Linked DNA regions of Xenopus tropicalis. The protein of the gene in region 3 interacts with the protein of the main gene of each other region in a pairwise test. Links are inferred from orthologs where the notes say so. Each region holds a gene or a part of one and is shown on either strand. Other genes may lie near its edges. The genes, in order: ca8, dnaaf4 and spdl1.

The links.
Region 1: the proteins of spdl1 (region 3) and ca8 interact in binary tests that used the Homo sapiens proteins (3 or more experiments, as listed by UniProt). The two-hybrid records come from large-scale screens. The link is inferred for Xenopus tropicalis from reciprocal best matches to the Homo sapiens genes SPDL1 and CA8.
Region 2: the proteins of spdl1 (region 3) and dnaaf4 interact in binary tests that used the Homo sapiens proteins (3 or more experiments, as listed by UniProt). The two-hybrid records come from large-scale screens. The link is inferred for Xenopus tropicalis from reciprocal best matches to the Homo sapiens genes SPDL1 and DNAAF4.

Annotation. Positions count from the first base shown.
Region 1 is NC_030682.2:116,874,502-116,878,160, forward strand, and holds part of ca8 (carbonic anhydrase-related protein), read right to left. Parts: intron 2,917-3,659; coding exon 2,854-2,916; intron 1,557-2,853; coding exon 1,508-1,556; intron 758-1,507; coding exon 645-757; intron 1-644. UniProt on the Homo sapiens protein: Does not have a carbonic anhydrase catalytic activity.
Region 2 is NC_030679.2:100,682,180-100,685,838, reverse strand, and holds part of dnaaf4 (dyslexia susceptibility 1 candidate gene 1 protein), read right to left. Parts: intron 2,895-3,659; coding exon 2,699-2,894; intron 1-2,698.
Region 3 is NC_030679.2:32,862,658-32,866,316, forward strand, and holds part of spdl1 (protein Spindly), read right to left. Parts: intron 3,052-3,659; coding exon 2,864-3,051; intron 2,419-2,863; coding exon 2,061-2,418; intron 1-2,060. UniProt on the Homo sapiens protein: Required for the localization of dynein and dynactin to the mitotic kintochore.

The DNA.
Region 1 (3,659 bases), on a different chromosome or scaffold from region 3:
GTTTTGCCACCAATATGGATTCATGCAGCTTAGTTACCATCAAGTACAAGGTACTGTTTTATTATAACAGAGAAAAAGGAAATCATTTTTTAAAAATTAGACCTTTTTGTTAAAAATCTATTGGAGATGGCTTTCCTGTAATTCAGAGCTTTCTGAATAATAGGTTTCCGGATAATGGATCCCATACCTGTACCAGGTGCAAATCTGTGTCGCAGATGGGGTACATCAGTCCTGATCAAATCAATATGTTTGAGAATGCCTTTACTTAGAAGTACGATATGGGATCAGTTATCTGGAGTTTATCCAGGAAGCCCCAAATTACATGAAGGATATTTCTCCATTCAAATCTAATAATTCAAATTTTTTACAATAATTTCCTTTTCTCTGTAATAATAAAACAGTACCTTGTACTTGATCCCAACTAAGATATAATTAATCCTTATTGGAGGCAAAACAATCCTATTGGGTTTATTTGATGTTTAAATGATTTTTTAGTAGATGTAAAGTATTGCGATCCAAATTCTGACAAAGCTCTTATCCCAGGTCCTGTACATTCTGCATAACAGGACCCATACCTGTATATAAAACATTCAAAATATGTTTACAAATGGAAAAAACTCTTAAAAATAATAATGGTTACTTACCTGTGTTTGAGAAACTGTTAAAGGGTATCGAAATAATATCCAGGTAACTCCTTCACTACATGGTGGCATTGTAAGAGATCCCTCATATACCCAATAATCACGCAGCAGGGGGTCTGAAAAAGGTCAGTTTTTTTACAACTCATTAAGATACTATAAGTAAACATTAAAGTTACATGAAATGGTCATTTTAATTATGAAACTGAATAAAAGTATCTATATATGTTTTCCTAAGAGTCATCAGTCGGCAGCCAATGAGCGAAGGTGTCCAATCAGGGAATATGGAAGCACCCATTTCACTTGTTCAACATTCAGCCTACGAGCAGAATTGTGGTTAATATTGAGATACTGTTAGATACTAAAAAAATACTTAACCAACAGATTGTTTAGATCATATTAAGTGGCCTATTTTACCAATCTGGGATATATATCAGTAAATATTGGTCTTTTACATCTTTTCTCTTGAACCACCATTTAGTGATGGGCTGTGTGCTCCCTCAGAGATCAGCTGACCAAAAATAATGCAGCTCTAACTGTAACAGGAGGAAGTGGGGGAGCAAAAGACAGAACCTTGTCCATTAATTGGCTGATGGAGCCTAGCATGTATGTGTGCCTTGGTTTGTTTGTGTGCACTGTGAATCCTATGATCCCAGGGGTTGGACCTTAGTACTTAAAATGGCAATTTTCTATTTAGGCGTACCCAATGGCACATACTACTACTTCATAAAAATGTTTTATTTAGATAGCAAGGTTTTACATATGAGCTGCTTTATGCAATATATTTTATAGAGACCTACATTGAGGTAGAGTTTTCCATTAAGTTCAATTTTATTTTGTTTATATTTGCATTAAACTTCTTTCCATACCTGGTAATAAGGTGTTGGGATTAAAGCATGGTATCGTCTTAGATTTCCCCTAAAAAAGACCAAATGCATTACCTTCTAAATGAGATGCAGCGTATATGTACTTGAAAAAGCTGAAAATAAAAGTAGAAGACATGCGGAATGTACTGAACAGGCCTTGTACTGAAGGGCAATAGTGCCTTGTTAAATTTATCACTTGTTTTCTTTCCAGTGCGCCCTGTAAATGCATTTAGTAGTTACAAGGACATTGTGCTATTAATTATTAAATAACAAGCCTGTGTGTCTCAAGAACAACTAGTTTCCCCTCTGCTTCCAATATTTTTTTTATCTTCCCTCTCAACTGAATGAAATATATTCCCTAACAAAATGCAGAGCCTCTGATTATGGTTTCATTACACTTTCAGTTATCACTAACAAATGCTGAATACTTTAGAAATGATTACAGGCCTTAGCAGCAGATGGTAGACACTATATAGAATATGGCACAAATGACTTTTGGCCCTAAACAAAATCATAGCATATGTATCAGTGTGTTCCACTGGCATTCATTTGCCAAGCAGCCATCGAACAGAAGGATTATATGGGGAAGCCCATTTATCAACATTCTCCTTTTAGTGAATAAAATCATTTTCTCTAAGACAACGGATGTCAAGTGATTTATTAAATAAGTCTTTAAAAAAGGACGAATTAAAAAAATGTAGAAGAAATTACAAATATCGACTGGTAATTAATACAACCAGAGAGATATTGTGTATCGGCCAATGGTATCTACAATGAGTATGACATGCCCTTAAAGAAATTAAAGAAATAAAAGTATACATGGCATCAACCAACCGAAAATATCACACAAGCATTTACACTTTATACCAGTGATCCCCAACCAGTGGCTCAGGGGCAACATGTTACTCACCAACCCCTTGGATGTTGCTCTCAGTGCCCCCAAACCAGGTAGTTATTTTTGAATTCCTGACTTGGGGCAAGTTTTGGTTGAATAACAAGGTTTACTACCAAATAAAGCCCCCTGTAAGCTGATAGTGTGCATAGAGGCTCCCTAATAGCCAATCGTAGCCCTTATTTGGCACCTCCATGAACTTTTATGATGCTTGTGTTGCTCTCCAAGTCTTTTTACATTTGACTGTGGCTCACGAGTAAGAAAGTTTGGGGACCCCTGCTTTATACCATTCTATGTACAACACACATATAACATATTAACCATAGGTCACTTTGATGTTATTTTATAAATAAATTGCACAAGTTCAGCTGAGCATCCCATGTTAGCTCCTTCCTATGATTCTGCTTCATGGGACACTTGCAGGATTATTATTCCTTTTGAAAAAAAAAGAACTTACTTTATAAAATATATCCTGAAGAACCTCTGTGATAGCTTTAAGGCCAATATTTTCTTTTCCTATCTGAAACAGTAACAAAAAAACACTGTATTTAATGAATTAAAGGCACTGGCTCTTGAAACTTAGGACTCTGCACTTACAAGATTAAGTCAACTGTTCTGCTGATGGGAAGCTCCTATCAGTAAGAGCTTTGGGACCGTTCAGGTAACAAATAAGCACAAATAAATACACAGATATGCTAAATTGGGGGTTTATTTATATTAAAATACAATTTGTAAAATATAGGATAGTATATGGTAAAAATGATAGTACAGGTATCGGACCCCTTATCCGGAAACCCGTTATCCAGAAAGCTCCGAATTACAGAAAGCCCGTCTCCCATAGACTCCATTTTAATCAAATAATTTAGAATTTTAAAACTGATTTTCTTTTTCTCTGTAGTAATAAAACAGTACCTTGTAATTGATCCCACTAAGATATAAATAATCCTTATTGGATGCAAAACAATCCTATTGGGGTTAATTAATGTTTTATTGATATTTTAGTAGACTTAAGGTATGGAGATCCAAATTACAGAAAGACCCCTTATCCGGAATACCCTTGGTCCCGATCATTCTGGATAATGGGTCCTATATCTGTATATGGTAAAAATGATTCACACACAATCCACGTATGTAAAGACAAACAATACTTTATTAAAAAATGCTTATGTATACTCAAATAAACTACTATTTTGCCTATTGTAAGTTCAAATATTTTAGCCTGAGTTACTGAATAATACTAGTTTTTAATTCAGGTCTAGCCTC
Region 2 (3,659 bases), about 68 Mb from region 3:
AAAGAGAGCTAAACAGAGACAGAGTATCTAGCTATAGCAGTACAATGCAATATTTCCTGTCTTAAAGGACTGAAAGGTGCCATGGAAAAACATAAATGTGCCACAATATTTATAATTCCTTTGAGATTAATTATGTGCAGAAATTTTAAATAAGGCAAACATAAATTAAGCAATGTCACATATTCTTATGGGTGTTGGTCTGAATACTACTACAACATCATCAGAGAAAATAAAAAAAATAACTTAAAACATATATTACACTCAAGATATCAGGGAGTTATGTTTATTCAGTGCCTTGTTTATTATTCTGTTTACAAATGTTATTGTTACGCCCTTCATTTCAACTATATGCTGCGACTCTATCATGGTGCATATGTTTCAGAGGCAAGATGGCTAGAGGTTTAAAGACTCTCCCTGCTTAGGTCACCCTGCCCGTGGCTTCCAGTGAGCATGCTTCTAGTTGCTGATCACAACCAGGGAGCCTAGGCACTGGGCAAAATGCAGCCAAACATGGGAAAATTTTACAACAAATTTACTACAAATTTACTACTTGACACTTGCATGCCACAGACTGTTAAGATACTATACTGGATCCTGGGATCTCTAACAACCCGAAACACATTATAAAGGTGCAAGTAATAGAACACCTAGGTAATAGTGACTACAGTACAGCCTCAATTAATGTATGTTACAAAAAATAAATATACACTAATGACGTTTAAAGTGAATTTTACCACATTACGTGCACCATAGACTGGGACAACAATTTCTCACCTAAAAACATAGAACAAAACTACAGTGGCTTGCAAAAGTATTCGGCCCCCTTGAACTTTTCCACATTTTGTCACATTACAGCCACAAACATGAATCAATTTTATTGGAATTCCACGTGAAAGACCAATACAAAGTGGTGTACACGTGAGAAGTGGAACGAAAATCATACATGATTCCAAACATTTTTAACAAATAAATAACTGCAAAGTGGGGTGTGCATAATTATTCAGCCCCCTTTGGTCTGAGTGCAGTCAGTTGCCCATAGACATTGCCTGATGAGTGCTAATGACTAAATAGAGTGCACCTGTGTGTAATCTAATGTCAGTACAAATACAGCTGCTCTGTGACGGCCTCAGAGGTTGTCTAAGAGAATATTGGGAGCAACAACACCATGAAGTCCAAAGAACACACCAAACAGGTCAGGGATAAAGTTATTGAGAAATTTAAAGCAGGCTTAGGCTACAAAAAGATTTCCAAAGCCTTGAACATCCCACGGAGCACTGTTCAAGCGATCATTCAGAAATGGAAGGAGTATGGCACAACTGTAAACCTACCAAGACAAGGCCGTCCACCTAAACTCACAGGCTGAACAAGGAGAGCGCTGATCAGAAATGCAGCCAAGAGGCCCATGGTGACTCTGGACGAGCTGCAGAGATCTACAGCTCAGGTGGGGGAATCTGTCCATAGGACAACTATTAGTCGTGCACTGCACAAAGTTGGCCTTTATGGAAGAGTGGCAAGAAGAAAGCCATTGTTAACAGAAAACCATAAGAAGTCCTGTTTGAAGTTTACCACAAGCCATGTGGGGGACACAACATGTGGAAGAAGGTGCTCTGGTCAGATGAGACCAAAATGCAAAACGCTATTTGTGGCGGAAAACTAACACTGCACATCACTTTGAACACACCATCCCCACTGTCAAATATGGTGGTGGCAGCATCATGCTCTGGGGGTGCTTCTCTTCAGCAGGGACAGGGAAGCTGGTCAGAGTTGATGGGAAGATGGATGGAGCCAAATACAGGGCAATCTTGGAAGAAAACCTCTTGGAGTCTGCAAAAGACTTGAGACTGGGGCGGAGGTTCACCTTCCAGCAGGACAACGACCCTAAACATAAAGCCAGGGCAACAATGGAATGGTTTAAAACAAAACATATCCATGTGTTAGAATGGCCCAGTCAAAGTCCAGATCTAAATCCAATCGAGAATCTGTGGCAAGATCTGAAATCTGCTGTTCACAAACGCTGTCCATCTAATCTGACTGAGCTGGAGCTGTTTTGCAAAGAAGAATAGGCAAGGATTTCAGTCTCTAGATGTGCAAAGCTGGTAGAGACATACCCTAAAAGCCTGGCAGCTGTAATTGCAGCAAAAGGTGGTTCTACAAAGTATTGACTCAGGGGGCTGAATAATTACGCACGCCCCACTTTGCAGTTATTTATTTGTAAAAAATGTTTGGAATCATGTATGATTTTTGTTCCACTTCTCACGTGTACACCACTTTGTATTGGTCTTTCACGTGGAATTCCAATAAAATTGATTCATGTTTGTGGCTGTAATGTGACAAAATGTGGAAAAGTTCAAGGGGGCCGAATACTTTTGCAAGCCACTGTATGTGCTTTGCAGTGATATTCAACCTTTATGGTTTTCAATTCCATAAGGAAACAAATGTAAAACCATCATGGGTTGACATATGTTAGTAGAGTTAGTAAGAAGAGTAATAAAAATGTATCTATAAACATATAAATTCTATAAATATCACAATAACTGTTACTGTACAGTATCTATATTTTCTACTAATAATGAAAACACAAAGCAACAAATGCACCTTTTTTAATTACGTCCTCAGTACTTTAGGTGCATGTTCCAAATATTCCAACCTGCATCTAACACATTTGCAATGTTTGGGATAATTATAGTTCATACATTACCAGTGGAGCAGTGTTCTGAAGACCTTGTGTGTACTGCTTTATTGCTTTCATTCTCTCTTCTCATTTGCTTTTTCTGGATCTTTTCATTTAATTCCTGAATTCTCTCCTTTTCTTTCCACTTCTCCAATTCCTCTGTTGCTTTCTTCCTTTCCTCATGTTTGACATCCTCTATGCGTTTTCTCTCTGCATCCTCAATCTAAATTAAATTTATATTTTTTTAATACAATTGTAGGTAGCAATATTATAATAAACATCTATTTATAAAGTGCCAACATCATAATCCACTAGCACAGTATGATAAATATATATTTATAAATATATATTATATTTTTAGAATGACAGTAATCTGAACAGAATAATAAAATAAGCAGACTAATTAAATACCATCCTTACTACTCAAAAGACCAAAAAGGCAAAGTAAAATATCAAAACTATAGGGCTCAGTTACTAATCCCAACCACAGTTGCCATAAAATTGACAAAGCCATTTCTCAAATTGCTCATTGCATCCAATAGTGTTCCTTGTCCTTGTGCATTTTGCCACCAGGTACCAATGCACCCCAACAATCTGTATGCATGGAGTGCACAAATTGACTCAGTGGAACCCACTGCTTCCTGTGTGAAAACTCACAGAAAACCAGAATTTCCAGTGAAACTGTGTCAATTTTGCATTAAAACACAAGCAGAATTGCGCACATTTTAACACTGTGTCGGATGCTATAATGCTGGAATTATGATAGAAAAAAATCTGCACTGTGGGTATAAAAGCATGGTGAATTACTTACGAAACTGCACTTCAGTGAAGTGAACAAGCCCTTCTGTCACAGGTCCCTAAGATTTACCTTATATGGGTGAAAATGGCCCCAACTTGTTTTGCTAAGCAATTAAAAGAGAACAAAACAAAGAATACACACCTAAATAGGTGCCCCCTGAAGCCACCTAACTGTCTTCTTTAATTATGT
Region 3 (3,659 bases):
AATGATATCATGGGCGGGGCCAGTGATGCCAGGGTGGAATTATGACATCATGGGGACGAGACTATGATGTGAAGATCATCCACTGCCGAATCATTCAAGGGGAGTCCTGTTCTTTATTTGGAACTGGGCATGCAGTTTTGAGTCAAAACTGGACAGGTTGAAAGTCTACATGTGGAATGTTATTTCTGTTATTTGCTCTAGGAATTCTATTAAAACAGGTCAAGATTGCTGTGAGGAATAGTGAGGCCCCATACACCCGGGCCAGGCCATATTACTGATCTGGCAAAATGCCAAAATGTTAGGAACACCCCAACGATTGTAATCACTTACCTGATACCCCAGGCAGGTGCTCCTTTTAGCAAAAAACTGCACCGGCCTGGGTACTATCCCGGGGTCGATGCACGAGCAGTATAGTGAAAAAGCTGGCTTTTTTGTTAACGTTCGCCTTTTCACTTTACTACACATGCACAAGCAGCGCTAAGAAATAAGAAGGAAAAGGCAATTGCACACTTGCATGTACCCTGGGCTGGTGCAGTGTTCTGCCAACAGCAGCATTGGTCCATGGAATCAGGTAAGCGATTACAATGATTGCGGTGTTCCTAACATTTTGCCACCCTCCCTGTTATTGTACCATACCTTCTCCTTTAATGTAGTCTGGGCCCATTACAGGACTCCCACCTGTTTCCCCTATAGCAATTTCTCTGGCCCCATGAAAGTCAAATTTTAGTTCTGAAGCAATTTCTAAGTGCAACAGCTTTTTCTGTTTGTCCATACCAGTCTCTAGTGTTTCTAATAAGCACCGAGCCTATTCCTTTCAAAAGTGGCTGCCCTGCACTGCAGTATGCTTGGATAGAGCCCAGAGGAGTATGTGCTTGTCAGAAGGACATTGCTAAACACTTATCAGAAGACGCATCAACACATAGCTGTGGGCAGAGAAGCGCATAAAGACTGTGTGGTTTGTGTGCAGTAGCGAGCCGCTATAAAGGACAACTATCCCTTACTTCTAAGATGCGTCCATGGTCCTAACCGCTTAAATTGTCTCATATGTAAAAGTCGACAAGCCTCTCTCTGAGCTAATGGGCACAAGAGTAAGCGACTGAAAACAAATGCTAATTTTGTAAACTTAATCTTAAAAGCTAAAAGCAGTGTTGAAACCAACCCCCAAGGTTTCACAAGAAAACAATGTTTAAAAGGCGAAGCTCTTGAACATTTGTCCAAAAGGAAAACTACCCATGTAAATAGTGCAAATCTGCTAGAGCTCAGAAATGGGGACTTGCAAACTGGCTCATTTTGAACCGATTACAGCAGAGCTTGTGTCCTGATGCCTATAGTCCTGGCAACTAAATAGCAATTTAAATTCCATCACAAAAATATAAAACAATTAAGCATAACTGCAAAAAATGTTAAGATACTGCTTCCTAAGTCATAATAATAGTTACTGTTAAGGTGAACCAACCTATTTATGGTTATATTCACTACATATAATTCTTCAAGAATTTAAATTCAAGTGTGAGTAAAGCAAGTTGCCCCAACCAGGAATACCAACTACATTGGAATGCAAATAATACTGCTAAACAAAGAGGTTTTCGTAAGACATACATTATACAAAATACAAGACTTTCCTGTGGGTTAATCTACATATACAATGTGTAACAGCAGACACACAATTTCTGACGTCAATGGACAAACAAAAAACAAAAAGTTAAAACGCTCAAAGTGTAGCCAGAACAAAATAGTACTGTGAGTTATGCTAATTATTATTGCTCTGCATTAACACAGTATTCCAGCAGTAGTGTGAAAAATTATTTTGAATGGCATACATAATAAACTGTTATGACATTAAAAAGACAAGAGCTTTTAATGTTCTTTAAAACTGTAGTGTTCAAGGCTTTTTAAAAGAGCTAAAAAAGTTCAGTCGAGGTAACCGGAATGGAGGAAAGAGACACCATGCAAAGCTTAAGATAAACAGGAAGAAGCGGATAGCGCAACTCACAAAGCGGAAGAAAAAAGATGAAGATCTTCCTTGAATGGCTTGTGCAATTATAGGAGGTGACACTGACCTGGGGGAGGTAGAAGTAACGGAGCAGTTATTTGTGTTTCTTTTGTTTATATCTTGATTATCATTTTCATTTTCCACAATCCTCACTCGTTTGCGTTCTTTTGGAGGTTGACCATTTGCCGGTTCTATTGGTTTTACTGCAACGGAAGACAGATCTTGCTCTTTAGTAGACAAAGATGAATCTTCTTTCAAAAGGTTTCTATGAACCGTTGATTCAGCTGGGCACATATCTTCTGGAATTGCATCAGACAGACCATGAGCTTGACTGCCTGAAGTCACAGTAGCACTGGTGTTATCTATTGCGCAATCAAGTGGAAGCTGTTCTTTTCTTCGTTTTTGAGTCCGGATTTTGGCAATTTCTGAAAAAAACAAAAAGCACTAGCATCACCGAGGCCAACTGAGCCTTTATCTACACAGTTTGTTCTGTAAAAAGAGCTTGCCCTAAATTTTTGCTGTCTCTACAACCAAGTTTAAGATGGTTGGGCCAGAAACAACCTGCAACTGGAGCATTACAAGGTTCACAGGGCTGCTTAATTCCATAATCAAGTATTAGTGTATTAAAAATACTGAAGTGTGAATAGCTTCTTTTAAATGAAAGGAAGAATCAATTAAACATATAGCAACAGGAGTAGCCCTACATATATATTGCCATTTTCAGGCATTTTATGCATGGCTGCCTAAAGCTCAGATGGTTGTAATGTGCATCATTAGTATAGTGGGTGGGAGCATGAATAAATTTGGCAAAAGTACGTATAACTCATTTGTTAGTACTAGATAACATGCAAGCTGATTCATAATTTATACCATCAGGTTCATATTTCATCTTCATCTCATCCAAATTGACACGGAGTTTCATATTTTCGCCTTGTGAGAGTTTGAGATGCCTATCATTTGCAAAAAGCTTCCGTTCCAGTTCCAAGACCCGTTGGCTCTCGGCTAGAGCTTTCATCCGTTGCAAAGATAGTTCATCTTTTATCTTCTCAATTTCCTTACTGCAAATAACAGAAATTCTAAATTAGATGTTTTTAATAATGAAATCAGATAGTATTACTGTAATTTAATTTCACCAAAATCTTCTGGGAAATGGTTACAGAGGATCTAAACACAAAAAATGAATTGATGCAAACTAGGGATGCACCAAATCCAGTTTTTTGGGTTCGGTGAGCCCCTGAATCCACCCATAAGGGATTGTGCCAAATACCGAACCAAATCCTAATTAGCATATGCTAATTAGGTTTTGGAAGGGTTAAATGTCGAAAATGTTTCCACTTCCGCGTTAACATGACAAAAAGTGTGGATTCGGAATCCAAATCCTGCCGAAAACTGAATTCTGGATTTGGTGCATGCCTAATGCAAGGGTGCTTCTCTGAGAACTTACAATTTACATTAATTTTAGACAGCTTTTAGCTCAACTGAGAGCCAGAAACCTTAAGGTTAATTTAATCCTTAATAAACATCTGTTGAACCATGCCTGCCTAGCAGTATAAAAAGGCCCAGTACTGCTAATAACTCAAAAACCACATAAAATAAAGAATTAATGTAAATTGCAAAAGTGCTCAACTACTCAACTTTACAGCAATGTATTTTTTGCATTTAGATT